2 linked regions of the Oreochromis niloticus genome follow. The main gene of each other region encodes a partner of the protein of the gene in region 2 in a complex. Links are inferred from orthologs where the notes say so. Each region holds a gene or a part of one and is shown on either strand. Other genes may lie near its edges.

Region 1 (6,875 bases), on a different chromosome or scaffold from region 2:
GATGTAGCTGTATGTTTTTCCACATTTTCATTCTCAGTGCAGGCCAGTCTCTGTTAAATGCTGCAGCTTGAAGGCAGAGCTGGCCTGCTGAGCCTGGGGTGGTTGCTGGCCGACTCGACACAGGGTGGTGGTTCTGGGAGGACCTGTTGGAATTTGTCAGCATGCTAGTGTCTAGCCACCCTGTGGCAAAAGTGGCCCTAGCCTTGGACTATGTGTTTTGTTCCTTCTGCAAATGGGATGCTGGACTGTATTATATATTATAGCTGGGACTGTTTCTCATGAGAGTATGTCATTTTTTGCCCTCAGCTGAGTCTGTGTGTTACACCAAAAAGCAATTATGATAAATGATTTCCATAAGGCCCACTAGATTTGCACAGCAGCTTTATTTTAAGTTACTGATTATCTACAAGTGTTCTAAATGTGTATGCATTTGTATGCTGATTGGGGAAATAACATTATTTAATTTTCTCTGGAGGTCCCTTGAAGGTTCCGCAAAACTAACCTTGAGCGAATGTACATTCACAAAGTGTGTGTAATCAGATTAGTAAAATGAATCTGTAAGCATGCGAGTATAATGGCTGAAAAGCCTTAAAGTTATGCATTGAAAATGCAAACAAGTTACCAGTTGCAGCTCACCCAGCTTTCTAGTTGGCTGTCTTTTTATATGTGACTTTTGTAACACTTCTCCTGTGGCAGTTCCACAAAAATATATTTATGGCATGATTTCTGTAGTAAAACCAGTTCAGTACTGTCCAATCAACACATGTACAAGTTGGTAATTTAACTGTTTTATAATATTACCTTTAATTTATCCTGCTGTAAATGTCACTGAAATTGACAATGTCCTTTTCAAGAGTAACGTCAGCAAGAAGCGAGCAATAATTACAAGTAGCAACTGAACATAAACACACAAATACAGATGGGGCTCATTACATCCAGTCAAAATAGGTACAATTCAAACTGACCTGAGAGACTTTGGTAAGCTGTATGTGTTTTTACAATTCTAGCAAATATCATCTTAGAGTAGCAGCACACAGTTCCCCAAAACAGCAGCTGACCAGTGAAGAATAGTGGTTTATTGACTGAGAGCAGCTCTAATCATCTAACAGCTGGCTGACTGCTGGAGAGCCTTGGATGACAAGCAAACAGCAGCCACTAGCTCTGGGAGGAAAACCAACACCGATAACTAAACGTAAATATACATATGAACAATCATAATATGTCACTTTACATTCAAATAATCTATAACATCTATGTCTTTTTACTTAATGTTTTTTTTTTTTTTTTTAAATTTGACTAATAATGGGCAAAGCCATGGTGTGCGAGACCACGGTAGCGTTATTAAATGTTAAGAAAAATAAAGCTGCCCACATAATCGGCACTTTATTCACACCAAGTAAATAAACTGTTTCTGGACTTTAATGCACAAGAAGGTAAACTTTAAGTGGCCCTGTCTCCTGATAGAAATATTTGCATAGCCTTAAATCATAAAAATATAATAATCATAAAAACAGATCTCTTGGGGCCCCCTCCTGGCAGGTTTATGTAAATGAAGAGTGAGACGAAAGGTCACACAAACTCGTTTCCTGTGCACAAACAAATTATTAACTGAGAGGTAGTAGCGAACGATGGAAACACCAGCTTAGTCTTAGAATAGTGCCAACTAGCCAAAAGCAGCTGGCTGACCATCTGCAGCATTAATCATATAATCTACAACTCCAGAGGCAGCATACCATTGGCCACTTTTAGATCTTGGTACTACTTCAAACTCATTATTACTGTTTCATAGTAAACTCTTTGGTTGAAATTTTGACTAACATCACAAGACAACCATGAAAACCAATTAAGCTGCAGGCTAGCCCTCATCACTCAGTGGAGGCCAAACACTAGATACAATTCACTTTTGTTACACGCAATAGATAATCTTGGTTTATTTCAGTTTATTTTTATTTGTTCTTGGGCAAACTGGATTGGCTGAGATTAAAGTTAAGCTTCATAACTTTTTTATTTTATTTGACTTTATTGTCTGAAGTGCTGTCCATATATTCTGAATAGGATATTTCACTTGTCTTTATGAACACATTTTACATTTTTTAAAAAGGTTTATAAAAGTATTATTTCATTCATTTTTTGTTTTATTTTAAAAGTTACAGTGCTGTGAAAAAATATTCCCACCTTTTCTGACTTCTTAGTTTTAAAAAGCTTTCCAAACCTACTTGGGCCTACGTAAAAAAAAAAAAAGAAACCCCCAACAAACCTCTCATGAATTAACTTTGATTAGAAAGCTGAATTCCACTAGCCTCACCCAGGCCTGATTACTGCCAGGCCTCTTAAATCAAGAAATCACTTAATTAGAAGACACTAAATTAGACTAAAAGATCTCAAAAAGCAACACATCATGCCACGATCTAAAGAAACAGCTGAGAAGCAAAGTCATTTACATCTACCTGTCTGAAAATGGATTAAAAGCCATTTCTAAGGCCTTGGTACTCCAGTTAACCATGATGAGAGCTGTTATCCTCAAATTGGGACAGTGGTAAATCTTCCCAGGAGTGGCCAGCCTACCAAAGTAACCCCAAGAACGCATCAGTGACTCATCCAGGAGGTCACAAAAGAACCCAGGACAACATCTAAAGGACGGCAGGCCTCACTTGCTTCAGTTAAAGTCAGAGTTCATGACATAATAATAAGGAGACTGGGAGGAACATGACATGTATGGTAGAGTTTCAAGGTAAAACGCACTGCTGACCAAAAGACATTTACACATTTACAACACAACCTATCTTGGTGATCCTCAATACTTTTGGAAAATTATTCTGTGGACTGATGAGATCAAAGTTGAACTTTGTGGAAGGTTTAAGTCCCGTTACATCTGGTGAAAAATAGGACAGGATTTAATTTAAAACAAAAAACATCACACCAACAGTAAGACATGGTACTGGTAGTGTGATGGCCTGAGGTCTGCTTTGCTAAAGCTGCAGTTACTTATTATTTTGTAGATTCAATGGATTATTATAAATCAGCTATGAGCAATATCTAAGTAACACCTGTCATTGATTCAATTATTATGGTCCAACAACACAGTGTGTATGATTCTGTCAGTCATTCTACATAATGAGTACATTCACTTGTTTATTTACGCTTGTGCACTACAGTGGTTTTACAACTTTAATTTAAGCAAATAGTTTGGGTGCCTTTTTCCACTTTGAAAGCAACATTTACCAAATCAAATTGTGTTTAAATTCTTGGGAAGCACCACACCACCACAGCTGAATGTCTGTCTCCATCTCACCATCTCCCTAGGATCCTTTCTCTCATACCAACACTTTGCCTTCACTATGAAATTTTGTTATGGTCCTCCTCTTTACCTGCTCCATGGCAGCTCCATATTCAACACCTATTCTACAATATATCCACTGCCCCCTCCTCTGCACATGTCCAAAACCATCTCAGCCTTACCTCTCTGACTTGGCCTCAGAGCAGCCTTACCTCTCTGACTTGGCCTCAGAGGCTCAACCTCAGCTGTTTCATTTCTTACCCTGTCCAACCTGCTCACAGTGCATCTGCATTGCATTGTAAACATTAGTCAAAATGAAATTAAGCCCAACAAGGAACTGAAGGACACAGTGGAGCTGAGCTGAGCTGTGATGCTGCCATACTGCTGTCTCAGTCCTCAGAAGTCTGGACTCCCCTGAGAACTTACTGAGTCCGAAGGAGAGAAACGCCCGTGTGATATTTTTATCATGAGAAGACAAGACTTCCGCAAAGTAACTCAAAACTCTACTACGTGTACAATGTAACTATTTAAATGACGTCAGAGTCGCTTAATTTATCTGCTCTTTGATTGGACGGTGTGTGTTTACGTAGCAACGGTCCGGAAGATGTCGCTGGGGCCAGTCCTAAAAAACTTCCGCCTTAAGTTGTAGAGAAAACACAGCAGCTAAAAAGGCTATCGACGGCGTAACCATCCCATTTACGAAGTCAGACAAAAGGTAGATACCTGCTCACATTTTTGACACATACTGTAATGACACATTTGTCCTAAACCAGCCGGTTGGCGTGTTTTAGGATCTCAAAAAATATAAATCCAGAAATTACCAGAGCTAGCACGGAAGCTCGGCTCTTCACTGCTAGCAGTTCGCTACCATCGATATGGTCGGCCATAGGCCTCAGGTTGATATTTTTACGGGTAGATCGCGATAAATATAATACTATACCTACCCATTTGTTCTGACTCTTGATTTTAACAGTCTTAAGAAAAATAGCCAGCACAATGTAACGTCTACTTTATATCTACTGGGTTAGCTACGTCCAGTTAGCCGAGTCTCAAATACCTGGGCTTGTATACATCCAGTAAGCTGCTTAAGTGGTTGGGTTAGCCAGCTACCATCGCGTTTGGTTGAAAAATAGTAATGTTAGTCTAGTTTATGTCTGAGAAAAAAATCTAAACATTTGTTTAATGTAAACTTAATGACATCGAGAAGTATTTGGCTAGCCTAGCTGAATACCCCAAATGGTATTTAGGAGGCTAATGTCTGATCTACATCGCCAAACTTTTTTTTGTTGTTAATGTAATTCCTGTCATTCCTTTTGGACTTTTACATATTTTGATATGAATCAATGCAATTATGAAACGGGTTGGTGTCTTGCTTGTAATAAGCTCTTCTATTCCGTCAACTGTCATATTTTCACATTGATGTTTGGTCATTGAAGGTTTGCTGTCATCAGCCAGGTAACTGTGCCACTCCCCTTCTCCAGACTCACAAAAGAGCAGTGTTTGAATGGCAATGGCAGCTTTATTTATATAACACATTTCCTCTTGCGTAAACGTGATTAACACAAATGATGGAAACATTAAAAACCTGTGTAGGTTTGACAGTCTCTTAAGGCAGTCAAAACGGCAAAATAAAACTTTTTGGGAAAACCTAAGGTTTTGAGTCAGCGAGCAGCTTGTTCCAAAGAACAGGAGCACAGTAGCAGAAAGACCACTCGGCAAACTTGGATCTGATTTGAGAAATATTTAAAAGATCTGCACCTGATGACCTGAGAGGTTTGATTGGGTTAACAGTGAGTCAGAGATAGGGAGGGGGGCAAGCCATTGAGAGCTTTATGAACTAATAGGAAGCTTTTGAAATGACTTCAATACTGGTCAATAGTATTAACTACTAATAATATGGTCAGTGTGGTTTTCCTTTTGTCTGAACATTATAGAAAATGCTAGTTAAACAGTATTGAGTCGGCATTGCAGAATAAATATCTGACATTAATGAATTAGACATTACAGTGCATAAATACCAAGTACAAATAGAGGTTATAAGGAATGTGTCATAGTGATTTTATAAGTTATATTTATTATTTCGTATGTTTGTTAGGGTGTTGAGAAGTTTTAGTTGTGGATCTATTTTTATAAATCCAGTCTCTTCATTTACACTGTTTTACTGTCTCACATTTTTCTTCTTCAGGCTACTATACTCTGGAGTTTGGGTGGTTTTGAGCGTGTGTGTGTGAGTGTGACTGGTTGAGTGCATGTGTGAGTGTATGTGAGCTGCAGATTCTTCCTCACTGTTACAACCAGAGCTGCTCCTCCCTGGAGGATGACAATGGAGGAGATGAAGAATGAAGCGGAGACAAACTCCATGGTATCCATGACGCTGTACGCCGTGATGTATCCAGTTTTCAATGAGGTAAAATCTCCAAAAGTTGAATCTGTTCATCTGGACGTAGCGTTTTGTGGGAGAAACGTTTCGTCACTCATCCAAGTGACTTCTTCAGTCTCAGCTGACTGCAGGTTTCCCCAAACCTTATAAACAGTACATTTGCATAATGACTGAAACCAGCCCACTGAAGGAACAATGGGCTGTGAGGTCAGTTCCTTAATCATAATTATGCAAATTCCCATGAGGTAAAATATCACATGCTGGGGACAAAGGTGCTGATAGTTTGCCTGGACATCCCCTCATCAGGAGATGTCCAGGGAAGCTATTAGCATCAGCATGCCTGTATGAGAAACCAGAGACCCAGTAACGCATTTGAAAATTTATAATAATGAATCTGCATAGCAGAAACAAAGATGCATATACAGTGCTGTGAACAAGTATTTGCCCACTTCCTGTTTTTTTGTTTTGTTTTGTTTTTGCATATTACATACAGTTACATGTTTCACATCAACAAACAAATGTAGATATTAGAAAAAGATAACCAAAGTAAATACAAAATGCAGTTTTTAAATGATGATTTCATTTATTAAGGGAGAGACTCAACTTTGATTAACCACATTTTTTGGAAAGCTGAGTAGAACGTCAATAGCCACACCCAGACCTGATTACTTGGTGAATCAAGAATGACAAAGCGAGGTAGGTAGGCTAAAAGATCTCGTAAAAAACGTGTCATACCATGATCTTAAGAAAGTCAAGAGATAAAAATGTCAGTCTGGAAAGGATTATAAAGCAATTTCTGAGGCTTTAGGACTCCAGTAAATCAAAGTGAGAACCCTTATCCGCAAATGGAGAAAACATGGAGCAGTGGTGAACCTTCCCAGGAGTGGGCACCCTACCAAAAATACCCCAAAAGCACATCAACAATGTATCCAGGAGGTCAAATGAACCCAGAACAACATGAAAAGGACTGGAGCCCTGATTTGCCTCAGTTAAGGCCTTTTTTCATGATTTAACAATAAGAAAAATGGCATGGTATGGTATGGGAGAATTTCTAGATATAAACCACTGTTGGCCAAAAGAACACAAAGGTTTGTCTCATGTCTACCAGAGTTTTGGAAGGTTTGAGTCCTGTTGCATCAGCATTTCATAAAAGAAAATCATACCAACAGTCAAACATGTCTGAGCTGCTTCAGGACCTGAATAATTTTCCATAATTGA
Region 2 (8,016 bases):
TATGCTCAGCTAAGCACTGACCACCACCACCACCTTCCCTCTAAGCCCTATGGAAAGGATCCAGTCCCTTTTTGGGATCCTGATACACAGTGTAATGAGCATTTAAAACTACTGGGACTCAAATGGAAACAAATGTTGGGATTAACGTTCCACTTGAGAATACCAGACCTTTAAACTTCAGCACACAGAACTCCAAACATGGTAGAGGGCCCAGTCTCTGTATCCTTTTAAAAGTCAAGGAGGGGGTGCAGAGCTGCAGCATAAAAAGAAAAACAGACTCTGAAAACTGTCCAAAAAGAAAAGAAAAGAAAAAGCCTCTTCTATCAGCGTAAAGCCTAACAGCAAATTTATCATATTCACTATACACGCTGTCAAGTTATGGTGTCAGTCACTTGACTTCTGACACATAAATCTAACAATCAGAGGACAGGGTGTCAATTCTCCAGCAGGGGGAAGCCTAAAAATGGACCATGACCCAAGGCAGCAACAATATATAGCACGCTTTGGGCAAGAGAGCTTTCTAGAAAACAGAAATCCTAGACAGATCAAGATCAGGATTAAAAAGCACAAAAAACAAATCCAAAAAACAAACAAAAAGAGTATTAATCAAAACAATCTGAGGAGAGAAAAGTGGTAAAATGTTTCAGAGTAAATGCTCCTTTACAACCAGACATCCAGAGCCGGAAATCAGCACAGAGCAGAGAGATTGGGGTTAAGCTCAGCTCAGACCACAAAATCAAATGGCCAGTTATCAACCAAAGCAGAAGCATATGGGCATAATGACACTCAAAACAAGTTAATTAAGGTTCCTTTAAAAAAAATTATAATAGTAAAGGAAGGAACAACCTTACACCAGCTTAAAGGTCAACTTCACACTGTGATGATAACATCAAAGGTCAACCAACGTCTGAGGGAAATTACCATTAAATCACTTTTCAGCTATTTTTAACTATCTCTATGTTTCCAAAGCTGAATGATGCAACGCAGTGATGCAAAAAATAGAGCAAAGGACTAAGGAACTCAAATGTGAAAACTACCATTCACGCCACACATCACTTTCATCCATTAGGTCATGTTAAAGTTTGAAAACTGCCCACATTATTGCCTCGAACAAGTCATCCTCTCCATTTATAGACATGAGTAAACAGAAGGTAGATAAAGGACTCAGTTTCCTGACTACCTGTGAGAGCTGCTGAGGGGGAAAAGTATCACACACACAATCAGCTGGCAGTTTATTAGGCACATCTAATTAAAAACTAACAAGATTATGACTTTGATGGTACAATGTTTGTGGAAATTGTCTTGATTGAAACTTGCAGTGTTTTAGGAGTTGCCGAATTGTTCCAAATTACAGGAGGTGTTTCTCTCATTTAGACTAGCCCTCATTCAGGGTGTTTCTTGGCTCAAAATTAAAGGATTTTTATTGTCATTCCAACATTTGGCCTGGCCTGGCCTGTATTTATATAGCGCCTTTCTGGTCCCTAAGGACCCCAAAGCGCTTTACATATCCAGTTATTCACCCATTCACGCACACATTCACACACTGGTGATGGCAAGCTACGTTGTAGCCACAGCCACCCTGGGGCACACTGACAGAGGCGAGGCTGCCGGACACTGGCGCGTGAAACAAAGTTTTGCACTCAGCAAACAAGAATGAGAACACCCAAGAACAATGCATACAGAAACAAGGAGCAGGAAATACATTTGCAGTGTAATTTAGCATAAATAAGAAGTGGTGGATAGTGCAGAGCCCAGTGGTTTCTCATGTTTGTTATCTTTGGCTGGGAGCAGCAGAGACTATAAAGCACATTTAGGGCACCGATGGGGCTTTGGCGACATAAACAAACTTTATTCATCCACATATAGTGAAGGTAAACAGACTGTGTTACCTTAATTAACAAGTCTGAGCAATTTGCTATTTTTTTTGTCATTGGATAACCAAAAATGTATTTTAAGCTCAACTAAACTAAGCCCCACTTAGAAATAACTTTTTATAATTACACCCCTGGTTATTTTCCTTTAATGGAGGGCCAAATTTCTTAAGTAGATGCCAACTTTCTTTCTTTTTTTTATTGCAGGAAAGAAAAACCTCCTCGTTGACATAAACTGACTGGCTGGATTTATTACTGGATTGATTGCCTTGATCACCATACCCTGTGCCAAGAGCTATACAGTAAGCTTTTCCTCACATTTTCATTGCTCGAAGTGGCTGCACCTAAACTGGATACAATCAACCTTAATAGGCTAAATAAAAGGACCCCAAAAGCCTGACTTTCTCACAAGAAATCAACTTTATCTCTTTCCATTTTGATGCCAGCTGGCCACATTTTTCCTTTACTGTTTTCTAACAGCTTCCATACATAAATATAAAGGGAAAAAATGAGGCAGAGCACTTCCACTCAGTAGCACGGCTAAAAGAGATGCTGCAGTCACTGTCAGTGTGAATGAGCAGGGCTGTAAATGTGGTATGTGACTTGAATTCAAAGCTTATGGGTCATCCTGCCTGCCCGATAAAGTACCAAGAAGCCCGAAAACTACCACATGTAATTTCTTATTTAGCGACATATCACGGTGTAAAGCTGTTTAAACAGAACAGAAGTCTGGGGCAACTCGTAATGATTGTCAAATCCATGTACAACGCAGTGAAATATACACTATAGACGCCATTTTAAGAATGTCTGGAAGGCGGCGGTGAGGAGGGAGAAGACGTTAGCAATAAGTTAAGGAAGGGAATTAAAAAATAAAATCTTACCTTTTCACATAGTGTTTTTACTTGTCCCTCGGACAGCTGCTTGCATTCATTGAGCTGCTCGATCCACTGATCCAGTTCTTTCGTAAACGCCTTTTCGTCCATTTCTGTGTGTTTTCGGGTTTGCTGCAGTTTGTCACGTTAGCTAATTCGGGTTAGGACTCTCCCAGAGGTTACCGTCTTTCGAGGGCTTACAAAACGGCCACAGCAGAAGCTAATCACTCTCTTACTAACAGGCGCATGTATCGCTAACTGCCAGATCACTGTGATGATTTGACTGAATTGAAACTGGGAGAGGGAGGGAGAGGTGACAGTTAAGGATCCACCCTTGTCGAGCCGCTGGCGAGCAAATAACAAACTTCCGGTTGCGCTTCGAAATAAAAGCTTCTTGGCGGACAAGTTCTGAAATACACCCTTACCTAAAAGAAAAAAATAATAATTATAACTTGCTAGGGTTAAACATAACAACAATGCAACTAGAAAAAAAAACTAGCATCTGGCAAATAATTTAAAAAAAAAAAGAGTTACGTTTTAATTGACCACCTTTTACAACTTTTCTACGTATGTAAATTTTAATTTTATGTAAACAGCTTTTGTAAACATGGTCTGAATAAACTAATTTCTGCCACACTCTGAAACTTACACAGTGACAAAGGTTGGTAAATATACATAAAATATTTCCCAGAATGTGGTCACGGTAGATGTTTGAGGATATATTATTTTTATTATGATGACGATGATGATTGTTATTATTATATGAAGATTGCGTCAGACTGTATATTGTTGAAAAATCTAATAATTTCCGGTCTAACACTGTGTGGTCTACCTTTACTAAAAACAGAGCGCCGCCCGACACAAATAGCAACCAGAGACCTATGACGGCTGCTCACTGATTGGTTCGCTGAGCTGCTTCCTATGCAGTTTCATTGGCTCGCCGTTTATTGGGGAAGTTACCGACACAAACTAAAGAGAATACGTCATGGCTCTGTGAAAGCATGCCGTGCATTTCTCGGCGTGGCTATGATGTCACTGTTTTATCTCCTTGTTGTCAAGGCCAAAAAAGTAAACAAAACAAAAGACAGCGTTGTCTTTTAACCACGCTGTCTTTAACAGGCTTACCTTCCACATCGTATCCATTCCTCTCAGTTTTCGGTTATGAATAAAGGTCGCTAGGCCCATTTAAAGGAGTTTATTGTTTGTGTACGGTATCAGCAAAACTGCCAAGTGATCTCACTCAGACTCAGTCCTAAAGCCAGTGACTTTCTAACAAAGACAACGATTAAAGATTCATTGATAATACATCTGTTCGTCACACATATGCACTCATGCTTCATCACTGTAATAAACATAATCAGAGTTAATCTTTCACAAAAAGTTCTCTCTTCACAGAAACACCAAGTTCACCTTTAAATAAGACTATTTCCAAACGGCTCGTGTCCAAATAGTGAATTGTTTAGGAGGCACTTGATAAAAACTACAGTTCCCAGGAGAATTTCTACATTGCCTACGTTCTGGCATGTCCCTTCGATAGCTCAGTTGGTAGAGCGGAGGACTGTAGGTGTATGATAACAGGAATCCTTAGGTCGCTGGTTCAATTCCGGCTCGAAGGAGGTTTTTGGGTGCTTTGAGTACTCCGGGAGAGCAGAAAAGCGCTAAATAAGAATCAGTCCATTTACCATTTATTATATGTGAATTAATCAGCACGGTCAAGCCTCTTCTGTTCTTTGAAATTATGTAAAAGGACTCAGTGATTGAGAGTGAGAGCAACAACTCAAGAAATATTTCGAATTAGAAAAATGGGGGGCGGGAATAAGCTTTAATTGTGAACATTGATCATCCCATATCAAGCAGTTTATTAGAATGTGGCAACAACCTTTTTGGGATAAATTTGCTGACACTTTCAGCAATGACCCTGCTGTCGATTCACAAGAACCTCCTGTATATGTATGGGAAATGTATATCAAACTATATTCTTTAAAAAGTTACTACACACTGTAAGTTTCTGACTGTGGCTTTAACAGTTTCAATTCAGCATACAACGTGTTGTTCTTCTTTAACTCTAAATATAGACCTATTATATCATACTGTTATGTGAAGTCCAAAGCAGGTCTTCTCTTGTATTGTGCAAAAATATAAAATAATGGAGACTTTACTAAACCAGGTCCCAGTTAATCCCAGTCTCAATTAAACTGGTAACATAATAAATCATATTTATTTTAGCTGGGGGCTCTGTGTGGGGCAGTGATCCCACATCTTTTCCAATCACCCAGAACAATATTTGTCAGTTTGTCTTTATTTTATTGTGTCTTTATATATATACATATATATATCACCCCCTACCCTAACCCTAATCTAGATCGATCTCTAATCCCTAAACCTAACCAAGGAAGGAAAATGGCAGATTAGCCTGGGTAAAAGACCGAAAGTTGAGGTACACAACGATGTGTGCTGCTGGCAAAGTTTCTGGGCTGCCTTTCCTCATAACAGCCATCCCTCAAGAGTCTCTCCATCTAAAGCATTATCAGGGACTGTAACATCTATTAAAGAAAAAAAACTATCCAAACCTACTTGGCACTGTGTAAAAAAGTAATTGCCCCCTAAATATAATAACTAGTTGTGCCACCCTTGGCAGTAAGAACTCCAAACAAGTGTTTTCGATAATTGATGCTTTCACTTTGTCTTTTCACTCTTTCACTTTGTCTCTACACTGTTTCACTTTGTCTCTTGACTCTTTCACTTTGTCTCTTCACTGTTTCACTTTGTCTCTTGACTCTTTCACTTTGTCTCTTCACTGTTTCACTTTGTCTTTTCACTCTTTCACTTTGTCTTTTCACTCTTTCACTTTGTCTCTTCGCTCTTTTACTTTGTGGTGGAAGAACTTTGACCCTCTCTTCTTTGTGAAATTATTTTAATTCAGTCACATTGGAGATGTTCCCAGCATGAATGATCTGTTTAGGGTCATGTCAAAGTATCTCAGTTGGATTAAATTTGTTAAAGTTTGAATGGGCCAAACCCTCATTTTGTTTGGATTTTTTTTTTTTCACAGTTGGACTTGGATGGTGTGTTTTGGATCAATGTTCTGCTCCAAAACTCAAGTGTTCTTGAGCTTCAGAAAAGGAACTGATGGCCGGATATTTTCCATCAGGATTTTCTGTTAGACAGCAAAATTCATGGTTCAATCAATTACAGCAAGTTGTCCTGGTCCCGAATCAGCAAAACAGCCCCAGACCATCACACTACCACCAACATGTTTGACTGTTGTTACGATCTTTCTATGAAATGTTGTGTTAGTTTTACACCAGTTTCAACAGGATTCAAACCTTCCACAAAGTTCAACTTTTCATCATCAGTCCACAAGACATTTTCCCAAAAGTCTTTGGGATCATTAAGATTTTTTATTTTTTTTTGGCAAATGTAAGATGAGCCTTTGTGGGGTTTTTTTTTTTTTTTATTCCTGGGATGGTTCATCACTGTTCCAGGTTTTCTCCATTGGTTTTGTAACCCTTTTCAGACTGATAAATGTCAATGACTTTGTTTCTCAGTTGTTTCTTGAGATTGTGATATGATCTGTTGCTTTTTGAGATCTTTTAGCCTATTTCACTTCGTCAGACAGGTTCTATTTAAGTGATTCTTGATTCAACATGTCTGGCAGCAATCAGGCTTACGTATCACTAATGAAATTGACGTCAGCTTTCCAAAAAATGTGGTTAATCACAACTAATTCATGATTTAACAATGGATAGCTCTTCTCCATAATAAATGTAATCATCACTTAAACGCTGAATGTTGTTTTCTTTCCCTAAGATTAAAATTTGTTTGATGATCTGAAAAATTAATAAATGTTTGACAAATATGTAAAAACAAAAACAAAAACAAATGCTTTTTCAGAACACTGTGTATCAGATCCATCCATCTTCTTCTGCTTATCTATGGGTCACGTGTACCAGAGCCAAACACCAGGGTACACCCTGGACAAGCTGCCGCAGAGAACACTTATAATCACACTGTGGCCAATTTACAATCACCAACCCTGGAAGCATGTCTTTGGACTGTGGGGGGCAGCTCAGCTGGCCAGTGGATACAAATCCAGGTGTCTTGTGCTAACCATCAAAATGATCCCTTTCCAGTTTCGACCTACAGTAGCTGTCTGTTTTGATACTAAAACTGTTGCCTTAAAGGATTTTCAGGACACAGTCATTTACAATTCTGCCTTCAAACTACCACAAGCTCAAGGCAAGCAAGTGCAGTTTTATTGCTATTCCATTATTTACTACATCTGTTGTATTGCTGCTCTGACTTAACTGTATAGTCGAATTGCTTGTGTCAGCAGGAGGCCACCAATACTCGAACAGAGGCATGAGACTTGTGCCAGAGACGTGTCAAGACTGTTGTGAGCAGAGGCTGACAGAGGTCATAGGGGTTACATCTAAAAGAATAACCATATACCATCCAGGAAAGCCAGTACGTGTCAGTCTTGGTGTAGCTCTAGATTTTCAGCAGACTTATGAAAGCTTGACACGAGCATATCCAGGCCCATTCAAAGGCAAATGCAGCCTTTACAACAAACAGAGGCCACACACGAAACAATAACACAGATCAAAGGCTGTATCTGCTCTTCCAACACACTGGCACATGTTCAAGTATGTCACGGCAATTAACAATTATCCTATCTTAAATCGTGAAGCTTTGCTGCTGTCGCACAACCATCAATTACTTTTTGAAGGAAAAACTACTTCTCAATTTTCTGAGTACTCTTATAACAATCAGACATGACATCAAGAAACTAAATAGCTTCAGACAGTGTATATTAATCATGGGCATTCCAGCGATTCCAGCAATGATCTTAAGTCTTAATGTTCAGCATCAGTGAGGGGAATGTTATCTCCCTGAAACTGAAATGAAATCACCATCTATTATTGTTAAGCTCTATTTGAGAGAAAGAAATGCACCAATACATCTATTTTCCTCATACAGTAATCACACAGTCCTACAGAGGATGTAATGACGCATCTGTCCCTCTGTTTTTTTTTTTATTAAAAAGCAGATTAAAATGTCCCTGGCAGTTTTTCCCCGCTCTCTGTTTTTCCTATTTGAGCCTCTCCTGCAACAGCAATTCATGTAATCAAGCAAATTTTGGAGAGCGCACTCCTCATAATTAGAAATTTCTGTTTGCAAGGTCACAATAGAAACAAGCAGTCATCTTCTGCTTTGCACAGAAAGGACACAAAAGCATCGGCTGCATCCTTGAAGTAAAATCTAACCAGTAT

Evidence for each region.
Region 1: ppp2cab (region 2) and programmed cell death protein 10 share a complex: the UniProt entries of both Homo sapiens proteins name them as parts of the core of STRIPAK complex. The link is inferred for Oreochromis niloticus from reciprocal best matches to the Homo sapiens genes PPP2CA and PDCD10.

The regions. Positions count from the first base shown.
Region 1 is NC_031983.2:17,919,260-17,926,134, reverse strand, and holds the start of programmed cell death protein 10, read left to right. Parts: upstream 1-3,867; 5' UTR 3,868-3,992; intron 3,993-5,462; 5' UTR 5,463-5,594; coding exon 5,595-5,684; intron 5,685-6,875. UniProt on the Homo sapiens protein: Promotes cell proliferation. Modulates apoptotic pathways. Increases mitogen-activated protein kinase activity and STK26 activity. Important for cell migration, and for normal structure and assembly of the Golgi complex.
Region 2 is NC_031975.2:22,852,726-22,860,741, forward strand, and holds the start of ppp2cab (serine/threonine-protein phosphatase 2A catalytic subunit alpha isoform), read right to left. Parts: upstream 3,019-8,016; 5' UTR 2,855-3,018; coding exon 2,753-2,854; intron 1-2,752. UniProt on the Homo sapiens protein: Catalytic subunit of protein phosphatase 2A (PP2A), a serine/threonine phosphatase involved in the regulation of a wide variety of enzymes, signal transduction pathways, and cellular events.